3 linked regions of the Macaca fascicularis genome follow. The protein of the gene in region 1 purifies or fractionates together with the protein of each later gene. This does not show direct contact. Links are inferred from orthologs where the notes say so. Each region holds a gene or a part of one and is shown in the gene's direction. Other genes may lie near its edges. The genes, in order: PRKCQ, IKBKB and CHUK.

Evidence for each region.
Region 2: the proteins of PRKCQ (region 1) and IKBKB purify together in Homo sapiens (affinity purification with western blotting; 4 studies listed by BioGRID). This does not show direct contact. The link is inferred for Macaca fascicularis from reciprocal best matches to the Homo sapiens genes PRKCQ and IKBKB.
Region 3: the proteins of PRKCQ (region 1) and CHUK purify together in Homo sapiens (affinity purification with western blotting, with the first as the bait; 3 studies listed by BioGRID). This does not show direct contact. The link is inferred for Macaca fascicularis from reciprocal best matches to the Homo sapiens genes PRKCQ and CHUK.

Annotation. Positions count from the first base shown.
Region 1 is NC_088383.1:7,442,451-7,446,104, reverse strand, and holds part of PRKCQ (protein kinase C theta type), read left to right. Parts: intron 1-1,899; exon of another isoform or gene 1,900-2,090; intron 2,091-2,242; exon of another isoform or gene 2,243-2,266; 5' UTR 2,267-2,275; coding exon 2,276-2,393; intron 2,394-3,654. UniProt on the Homo sapiens protein: Calcium-independent, phospholipid- and diacylglycerol (DAG)-dependent serine/threonine-protein kinase that mediates non-redundant functions in T-cell receptor (TCR) signaling, including T-cells activation, proliferation, differentiation and survival, by mediating activation of multiple transcription factors such as NF-kappa-B, JUN, NFATC1 and NFATC2.
Region 2 is NC_088382.1:45,826,480-45,830,133, forward strand, and holds part of IKBKB (inhibitor of nuclear factor kappa-B kinase subunit beta), read left to right. Parts: intron 1-2,591; coding exon 2,592-2,699; intron 2,700-3,654.
Region 3 is NC_088383.1:109,168,980-109,172,633, reverse strand, and holds part of CHUK (inhibitor of nuclear factor kappa-B kinase subunit alpha), read left to right. Parts: intron 1-171; coding exon 172-286; intron 287-970; coding exon 971-1,040; intron 1,041-2,799; coding exon 2,800-2,888; intron 2,889-3,654.

The DNA of each region.
Region 1 (3,654 bases):
GATCAAAATAGTAACTGATTTCTTTCATTGGTGGAAATCTGGAAAGCCTTTTTACTAACTTTGTGTGTCTTCTTTATTTTTCATCATGATCAACTAAAAAGCACTCTGAACAACAGAGAGAAAAGCACTCTGTGCAGTTCAGGTGTAAAATGCTGCCATCTGCCTGAAAAACTCACACCTGGGCTTGCAGTTCTATTGAATGATGTGTGAAGATTACCACACAACCACCTATTCTGTCTTCTAGATGTCAAGTGTATGTCAGGTCACGTCTGACATACATTTCTAAAGGTCTGTGACCAGACCTTTAGAAAGAGGGATACTGACTTGGCTGTCAAACAGAACATACATGTGTTGGTCAAATCATCAAAATGCTTAGAAGTAACAGAATAGCGCAAGTGAATCTGGTGAAATGGCTGTTTAATCTGCATTGCTTATTAAGGAAGAAATCATTGTCTAGGCAAGACCTTCAGGAGGAGAGAGGGTTTTGCCCCAACTCTCTTCCTTGCTGTAATGGAAACCCTGGTCACCCTGGAGGTTTCCATGTCTTCCTGAGACAGCATTTCCCAGTCACCTGCTGGGCTGCTGTTGCCTGATTAGAAACCCAACCTAGGAATAGCAGAGTGACACCAGAAAAGGCCAGAGTGCTTTAACTCAGGCTTTATGAGTCAGTGATCCCTCTAGACTCAAACAGAATTAAGGAAATCTTCAAAAAGTCCCAACATGGCGATCACTCCCATCACTGAAGATGATTCTCAGTGATTTTTCCTGATTTGTGGAGAAATGAAGTTTTGTCTAAAAGACCCAAGTGGCCCAGGAAAGAAGAGATTCTCAAAGAAACTCTCTCCGGAGAATTCATAGCTGTTAGCCCCACTCCTGCCTGGGAATTCTAAACTCATAGGGCAAAGGGGGCCCCCTAAAGACAAATTTGTAAGTCATCTACCTGCTAATTCAGCAACGTGATAGATACGGAACCCAGCAAATCATGATGTTTACCCAACCGTCTCCATTAGATAAACCTTCCAAACTCTACAGGAAATTAGGACTTCATTAATATCTGTGAAATTAACAGCACCTGTCAAAAGCTCCTAATTTGTCTCTCTTGTAGAATCAAAGAACACTGGCATTTAGCACACAAGAGATACCTTTTGGCTTAGCTAGATGGGGTATTACAGGTCCAAGATTTCCAGGTATGTTACAGATTCTCACTTCCAGGTCTTTATTATTTCAAACAGTTTTCTTTCTTTACACAAAGGCAGAAAAGACAACCAATGGTTTGTTTCTTATCTTTGGCTTACTTATGAAAACTTAGAAAAACAAGTATAAGTATAAAATGGTCAAGAAGAGAGACAGAGCAAGGAAGTAACTTTTTCACTGAATACCAGATGATAGTTTCAGATTAATGGGACCTCGGGAAAGTAGGTAAACAAGAAGGGGTATCTAGTTTATATAAGTGGCCAGAACACTCAATAATGGAACAATAGGTGAAGAATTAGACTAGATTCCTGGATTTGTAGCCAACACTTTGATAACTATCATCTAAACCTCTTGGAAAGCATAATTACTGATTTTGGGGCTTTTATGAAGTATTTTGTTCATCCTTAGATGATAAAGTCCTATTTTATAGTAGTCAATGAGTTTAGAGTTTTCTATGTGGTTTGTGATGTACAAAGGCTTAGAGTGTGTGTGTGTGTGTGTGTGTGTGTGTGTGTGTGTGTGTAACTGTGAAGAAAGCAGACCTTTTTGAAAATGTCTGAAGTAAATAAGGATCAGCTGCTGAATGCCTTGGGCCAATCCCATTACACACATAAATAGACCATGTAAGAATTTTGCGGTGTCATATTTAACTAGTGTGACTCAAATAGACTCGCTCTTTATAAACTCATTTTCTGATTACTGTGTGCTGTTTCCGGGGCACCTACTTGAATAACAGAAGACATAAAATGTTGGAAAACCTTTGCCTCACTCTCCAACCATTGGGCCTAACTCCATTAGGTTGAGTGGAATTAACTCTTGAGTTACTTCTTACTAGCGAAGTTGAGTTCAGACTTTCAGAAAGCCTCTCCCCTCGGCAAGTCAGTGTGTGGTTTTGGGTGAGTCCAGCAGTGTCTTCTGCAGAAGGGGAAGTGAAAACGTTTGTTCAGATGGATAGTGGACCTTTGTGAGGTTCTGGCTGTCCATGATAAAGCACTGGCTAAGTAGACGTGGGACACCAAAAACAGTATCTTTTATAGCCCCCAAACAGCATTTGTCTTGTGTCGTTTTCCAGGGTGCAACCATGTCGCCATTTCTTCGGATTGGCTTGTCCAACTTTGACTGCGGGTCCTGCCAGTCTTGTCAGGGCGAGGCTGTTAACCCTTACTGTGCTGTGCTCGTCAAAGAGTATGTCGAATCAGGTAAGTTTGAGTGGGTTTTCAAAGCAGGGGAGGAGGAGGAAAATCCTGCTATGAACTATGTATAAAGCAAGGTCTTCCAGGACATTTGACATCATCTGGTGGAACCAAATCCTACCATTTAGGACACTGATGACGCCCAGCAAAGCCAAGGGCTTCCTTCTGGACACACATTTTGTGATGGACTCTAAACCAGGACCCGATGGCCCACCGGTGGCTCTATTACACCGTCTCATTTTTCCCACATATACAAAAGGAAAGAGACAGTTGGGTTGAGAAAATTACATAAGGAGTTAATGGGAAGGAGCTCTAATGAGCTGAAGTAGAACATGGCCCTATGTGGTTAAGCCTGGTTACTTTAAATAAGTCTAGGTAGATTAAGACTGCATAATCTTCCAACCAACTCTAAAGACTACTTACTGCTGCTTTGGCAAACTTCAGTGGATATTACAAAGCATCTATAATTAGCCATTAGAGTCCAAATTTCAGAAAACGTACTTTCGCACTCACTAAGGTCTTGGCTGAATGGAAGAATCGTGATGTTTCATCAAGTTTAAATATTTACAGGCAGCTCAAGGTGAGGGGGAAAGTGGGACAGCCACCCAACGTCCCATTTGTGGGTTCAGAATGTTCCGTTCCAACAGCCTTATGTGTAGGGAATTTCTCTGTGGGCACATTGACCAGCTTCCGCTCTCTGAGAGCCTCAGCTCCGCATTGTAAGTTTGCCGTGGATTTCCAAAGGAAAAGTAGGAGGGAGTTTAGATCCCACAACTCTCCTGACTGCACACCTTTTCTTGTTTCCCTACGTGCATTTTGATTTTAGTAGACACTTTGTAGAGAATGATAATGACAATGGATGCAGGCTTGCAGTAACTGTGGAAGCCGTCACAGTTCACTTACACAAAAGTGTTTACAGAGAGACCACTGCAAGAGTGCTGGGGCCAGAGCATAGAGGGAAAAAAAGTCAACTAAATAAGCAGAAGGAACTCAGGAAGACTGCCTTCCCTTTAGAGCATCTATTCTTGCAGAAGAAAGTGGCAATAAACAAAAATACCAACAGCAGGTAATGAAGGAACAAAAAGCAGTGTAAAGAAGAGAGGACTGGGGGCAGGGATGTGTGTTATCTTATATAGGGTTGTCCTGCAAAGGCCTGTGAGCAGGGACATTTGCAGATGCAAGAAGAAACTGACTCAGATGTTGAGAACCTCCTGCCAGATGCTCACAGTTCACATTTAGGGGTTCCCAAACCTACTATTTTGCATCC
Region 2 (3,654 bases), on another chromosome or scaffold:
GGGGGTTGTGGTGAGCCAAGATCGCACTGCTGCACTCTAGTCTGGTCAACAGAGCAAGACTCTGTGGTCTTACCAAAAAAAAAAAAAAAAAAAAAAAGAAAGAAAAAAAAGAATAAAGTGTATCCTTTGAAATCAATTCCAGAAAAGTGGTCTTAGGTGATGGCAGTCTGTTCAATTCCACGTTTACCTCCCAGTGAGGGAGGTCCCTGCCCTGAGTTTGGAGAAATGGCAAAGTTTGCCCCACTGTGGTGACTTATTTTAAAACAGGCATTGCTCCTTTAGCTACATAGGTTCTGGAATATTGAGGAATTTGTTCATTAATTTATAGTCACACTTTACAGTGTACGCATTATAAAAATCGCTTTAAATTACATGTACATCTATAGTGTTTTTTTGTTTTTGTTTTTGTTTTTGTTTTTGAGACAAAATCTCACTCTGTTGCCCAGGCTGGAGTGTAGTGGCATGATCTGGGCTCACTGCACATCTATAGTGGTTTTAACTAAAGGAATTATTGCATTTCTTCTGATCACTTGTTGAGCATTTCTCTTATTTATGACAAGATGAGTTAAAATCCATTAGAACTAGAAGAGCAGGTGCTTTTTGAAAATACATTCCTAATGGCCCAGCATCCTCGTAGGAAATCTGTTGTCTGCAGAGCCATCTTCCTAGAGCTTCCCTTATCAGCACTGGAGGGCCAGGTGGCCAGTTTCAAGTAGATTTTTCTGAAACCCAATAAGGAGCTGTTTTGTGGACTAATCTAGTTTTTAATGCTTTGGGCAACTTTTTAAAAATTTCACTATCTTGTCTCAGATGGCAGGTAAATAGTGATTTCCAGACAAATGCAATTTGGGCTTTACAATTCTATTATAAAGCCACTTTGAAATACATTTTAGGACAAGCCCCAGCAATAAGCATCTTATTTTGGGTCCTTTTTAAATTTCCCATCAACAACTTAAGTTTTCTGTGAGAGGCTTATTCCACACTTAGATAATTAGAAAGTCTTGGAGCCCCCGACTTACAGCTGTCAGTTTCAGCCCAAGCGGTAAAGCACCAGCCTCTGCCATGCTCCGGCTCTTCTAGCTTTCCAGTGTGCTCCTGATAGGCTGGTTCACCACTTGCCAATGAAAATTGTTTGGAGCAAAGCATTTTTTATTTGAATTTCCCAGATGTTTTGAGAATAGTTGGACATTCAGACAGAATAGAAAGAACACCAGACATTGGGTTTGAGCCCCTGATTCTGCTACTCTGTTGCGTGACCTTGGACAAATCATTTGATCATCATTTCCTTTGGTCCAAATTGGGGGACTAAAAATAATGTCTGCCACATGGGCCTGTCATGGCCTTAAGTGAATAAATGATCTGTGTCAGAATACTTGGTTATCTATGAAGTATTATTCAAACTACTCTTCTTATTACCAAGATTTGAAGCCAGTTGCATGTAGATTATTTTTATTGGCCAGGCACTGTGGCTTACCCCTATAATCCTAACACTCTGGGAGGCCAAAGTGGGTGGATTGCTTGAGTCCAGGAGTTTCAGACTAGCCTAGGCAACATGGCGAAACCCCATCTCTACAAAAAATACAGAAATTAACTGGGTGTGTGGTGCACACCTGTAGTCCCAGCTATTTAGGAGGCTGAGGAGGGATGATTGCTTGAGCCTACAAGGTTGAGGCTGCAGTAAGCTGTGATTGTGCCACTGCATTCCAGCCTGGGTGACAGAAAAAAAAATTATTTTTACCTTCAAATACTACTTCAGATACCCCAAGAAGTTCCCTAAGTTGGGAAATGTATAAGTTCATTTATCCTTAGAAACAGTATTTAGCTGTGTACATTTAGAGGGAAGTATCTATGTGTGTGCGTAGGTTTTGCATATTTTATGTAAATGTTGTATGCATACTGTAATCTAGGTTTGGAAGTCCCAGTTTTAACCTCTGTCAAAACACAAGAGTGTGTAGTAGATGAAACAGAAGATAGAGCAAATGAGAAGGAAAAACCAAGGATGAGATAAGGAGGCAGTAGTACTGTCTGCAGAACTCTGGGCACAAGATGGTCAGTGACTCTGCTAAAGGTTGCTTTTCAAAAACTCATTCAGGCAGTCCTGACCAGTCTTAAACTCTCAAAGAATCCGCCTGACTCAATGTGAATGAAAAGATTGGGGCTATAAATCTGTATAGTTGTAAACTGATATTATAAATGTAAAGTGGCTCTTGAGTGCTAAGTGTCATAGGGATGTGTATAACTGTATATTTCATTGACATCCCAGTCAACAATTGACTGCATAGATGACAGTGGTCTCATGAGATTATAATACTGTATTTTTGCTGTACCTTTTCTGGGTTTAGATATGTTTAGATACACGAATATTTATCATTGTGTTACCCTGGCCTACAGTATTCAGTACCGGAGCATGCTGTACAGGTTTGTAGCCTAGGGCAATAGGATGTACTATATAGCCTAGGTGTGTAGTAGGCTAAACCATCTAGGTTTGTGTTCGGTTCACACAACGACTAAATCACCTAATGATGAATTTCTTAGAATGTGTCCCTGTCATAGCAACGTGTGACTGCACCTAACAAGATTCATATTTGCAGGCATTCGAAAGTCCGGCAGAAGAGTGAGGTGGATATTGTTGTCAGCGAAGACTTGAATGGAACAGTGAAGTTTTCAAGCTCTTTACCCTACCCCAATAATCTTAACAGGTAAGGCACAGAAGCATTACACGAATACATATTTTTCTTCCCTTTTTTAGAAATACAAGTCTGGACTGGGCGTGGTGGCTCACGCTTGTAATCCTAACACTTTGGGAGGCCAAGGTGGGTGGATCACCTGAGGTCAGGAGTTCAAGACCAGCCTGGCCAACATGGTGAAACCCCATCTCTACTAAAAATGCGAAAATTAGGAGTGGTGGCACACGCCTGTAATCCCAGCCACTCAGGAGGCTGAGACAGGAGAATCGCTTGAACCCGGGAGGCAAAGGTTGCAGTGAGCTGAGATTGCACCATTGCACTCCAGCCTGGGTGACAGAGTGAGACTCCATCTCAAAAAAAAAAAAAAAAAGAAATTCAAGTCTGAAGTGACATCTGATAACTTTTAAACAGGTTATCAGAATATCGTCCTGTGAGTAAGAAATTGACATAGTCCTTCTTAATCTTAAATCTAGAATGGGTTTCCTTCCCTCATCTCCCTAGAAATCATCTCTTATTCTAAGTTCACATAACAATTTATCTGTGCCTCTTATTACCCTTAATAGCCTCTACCTTGTATCACATTTGGTTTTGCATAGGGTTTGTCTCTGATTCAACAGCAGTCCTTTTAAGGGCAGGGAATTATACCTTATTTCTCTTTCTACCCCTCATGTGGCCCAATTCTGTGTCACAGTCAACAAATAAATCTTTGTCATTTGAATGGCATTACAATCCAGTCTCAGAGCCAGAATCTAAACAATTAATAATATTGTGTAATTGTACAGAATTGGGTAACAGTGCAAAAGAAAGCTACGAGGCAGTCACACATAATTGAGTGGCATGGATAATGATTACCATATTTAAAGGGTGGAAGAGAAGATTGGATGTACTAGTGCTATAAGGAATGACGTGGGATAAGCTAGAACTTTTTGGAAGGGTCTAGACAGATGTGCAGGACGTGGACAGATGA
Region 3 (3,654 bases), about 100 Mb from region 1:
TTTCTTTTAAAAAATTCTAATTTTTAATTATACAAATCAGAAATTAGAGTATTATAAATAATACCGATCTTTCCCCCTCTGTTCATCCACCTGCAATTAAGTAGCATTTCAAATCCAGTCCCTTTTTATTGGAAATAAATTTTTTATTGTAATGTTTTTCTTTCTTATTAGGTTGAACCATGCCAACGTTGTAAAGGCCTGTGATGTTCCTGAAGAATTGAATATTTTGATTCATGATGTGCCTCTTCTAGCAATGGAATACTGTTCTGGAGGAGATCTCCGAAAGGTAGTGTGGATGTTTTGAGATGAGAGATAGTAAATCACAAACTTTAGCATTATTTGAATCATATTAAATATAATAAACTAGAATAAGAATCGGAAAAACTATGGTCTGCTTCCTGTTTTGTAAATAGTTTTATTGGAACATAGCCACATTCATTTCTTTACACATTGTCTGTGGCTGCTTTCTTATGACTGCAGAATTGAGTAGTTTAACAGAGGCTATGTGACTTGCAAAACCTAAAGTATTTACCATATGGTTCCTTACAGAAAATGTTTGTTGACTCCTGATTTAGAAAATGCATTTTTGTTGTTGCTGTTTGATGGGACTATAGCAGTGGTATTAGATGAAATTTTCAGTGGTTAAGGTGCTTGTAAAAAGTTGTTTTCTGTATTGCAATCTTTCTTTTCTAGCTAATTTTAAATGTGCCCATATGACCATTTATATATATATCCCTGAGATTTGTCAGCCTTTTCCAGTTTCAAGTGCTTTTTGCTTCTTTTTACTTTTATGAGCCTTATCATGAAATTTACATGCCGTCAGTATGGATTTGGTAATTGTATTCCCTTGTATTTTATTATGACTTACTTTCTCATTGAATATTCTCTTAGAGTATAGTAATTAATGTGTGGTCACTATTACAGCCCAGCAATTTGCAGAACACATTTTTAGATTTCTTTCTTTTTTTAGCTGCTCAACAAACCAGAAAATTGTTGTGGACTTAAAGAAAGCCAGATACTTTCTTTACTAAGTGATATAGGTATGTAATCAGTATTAAAATACCATTGTGATGTAATGCCCCTTTGGTCCATAAAAGATTCTGTACCTTTTTGGGAATTCAGGAGAATTGTTGATACACTGTACAAAGTCTATAGAATTTCAACATCTATAAGAAGTTATCATATAAATCTATTACTGTTGATGCTAAATTAAAACCAGGATATTTTTATATCCTAGGGTGCGGTGGCTCACGCCTGTAATCCCAGCACTTTGGGAGGCTGAGGTGGGCGGATCACGAGGTCAGGAGTCCAAGACCAGCCTGGCCAACATAGTGAAACTCCATCTCTACTAAAAATACAAAATGCCTGTAATCCCAGCACTTTGGGAGGCCAAGGCGGGCAGATCACAAGGTCAGGAGATCTACACCATCCTGGCTAACACAGTGAAACCCCGTCTCTACTAAAAAATCCAAAAAATTAGCTGGGTGTGTTGCGGGCGCCTGTAGTCCCAGCTATTTGGGAGGCTGAGGCAGGAGAATGGCGTGAACCCAGGAGGCAGAGCTTGCAATGAGCCGAGATCACGCCACTGCACTCCAGCCTAGGCGACAGAGCGAGACTCCGTCTCAAAAAAATAAAAAGAAAAATAGAAAAATTAGCTGGGCATGATGCCACATGCCTGTAGTCGCAGCTACTCGGGAGGCTGAGGCAGGAGAATTGCTTGAACCCAGGAGGTGGAGGTTGCAGTGAGCCGAGATTGGGCCACTGCACTCCGGCTTGGGCAACAGAGTGAGACTTTTGTCACACACACACACACACACACACACACACACACACACACACACACAAACTAGGATATTTTATTTATTTTTGGCTAGGAGTCCTTTTTTAATCTAATAGGTGTTCCAATAGCTGACAAAAAAATCATGCAAAATGACCTTACTCAATTTCACTCCTCCCACACCATTGACATAGTAATTTTTTTTACAGTGGAATTGCATCTCCTTGAGAGATGGGTCCTCAAATCAACTCTTTTTTGTTTGTTTTGAGACGGAGTCTAGCCCTGTCACCCAGGCTAGAGTGCAGTGGTACGATCTCAGCTCACTGCAAGCTCTGCCTCCCAGGTTCAAGTGATTCTCCTGCCTCAGCCTCCTGAGTAGCTGGGATTACAGGCGCCCGCCACCATGCCTGGCTAATTTTTGTATTTTTAACAGAGACTGGGTTTCACTGTGTTGGCCTGGCTAGTCTCAAACTCCTGACCTCATGATCCGCCCGCCTCGGCCTCCCAAAGTGCTGGGATTGCAAGCGTGAGCCACCGCGCCCGGCCAAGTCAACTCTTGGGGTGAAAAATCTCTGCTTAATCAGAATGACTCCAGAAAAATTCCTAAAATAACCAGTACCTAACCTTTTGGAGGAACCTCAAAAACCAAAAATTTGTTTCCGCGTAGATTTTGGTTTTGCCTCTTTTCCAAGGTCATGAGAGCTAAAGTCCAATTTAAATGGTTGATTTAGGTGGGAGAAGGGGGCTTATTAGAATTACAGGGATTTTCCCAATTGCTTGTTGCATTTCTATTTAATGTTAATTCTAATGAGTTAGATGAACATATAGTATAATTTTGTAGTATTTGCTTAATGTTACGTTTTTCTGTGAAGAAAACCTGAACTACTGTAATATTAGTTGTGTAGTTACGATGATCCATATAAACTTGAGCATCAGAGCAGATTTGTACAAAATGTGAGGTGAATTTTTCTTTTAACTCAATGCTTTCTGTTACTTCAAAGTGTATTTTAAACTTTATTTAGGGTCTGGGATTCGATATTTGCATGAAAACAAAATTATACATCGAGATCTAAAACCTGAAAACATAGTTCTTCAGGACGTTGGTGGAAAGGTAGGTGAAACCTGAAGTAATGTTTCATGCCTATTGAATATAGTCTGTCTGATATAGTTAGTCCTTGAGCTTTGGTGTCTTTGCTGTATGCCCGTAACACTCTTACTTTTTCCATTTCAGACCTTACCACACTGAACTGTAGTTTTGTGTTTAGTTTTTTGTCCCTTCTGCTAAACAGTGGTTCCATTAAAGAAGGAACTGCACCTGTCTTTTTTTTCTTTTTCTTTTTCTTTTTCTTTTTTTTCATACTTAACGCAGCTCCTAGACTTCACCTGTCTTGTTCATGTCTGTTTTTCCAGCATAGTATCTAGCAAAGATACTGGCAGTGAATACATAATATGTTAACACTTACTATTTTATTCTTATGAAGCACATCCAAAACACATACACACACATCCTGGGTTCACTTTAAGAAAAAAAGAAAGTATGTATATTTTTAAAACTTATTTTCCTTCCCCCAATTTAGATGAGTTATCTGGAGAAGAACCAGAAATTGTGAATTGACTCTTAAAATGTTCATTTAATTAGTAACTTTTAAGCAGTTTTCTTGTTTCCAGCGTCCAAATTTCATTCCAGTAAAGACTTAAAAGCCAAGAGTCTGCGCCTTGGGTTGAGTTGTGTGTGCTGTCTTTTCAGTTAGTGAAGATAGTTGTTGGTCTCGTGGGGGTGTTGGAACCTTCGTGATGCTTCTTCTCTTAGGAGCCTTTCGTGTATGCTTGGCACCAAATATCTCTGCTTTTTTTTTTTTTTTTTTTTAATCCAAAGA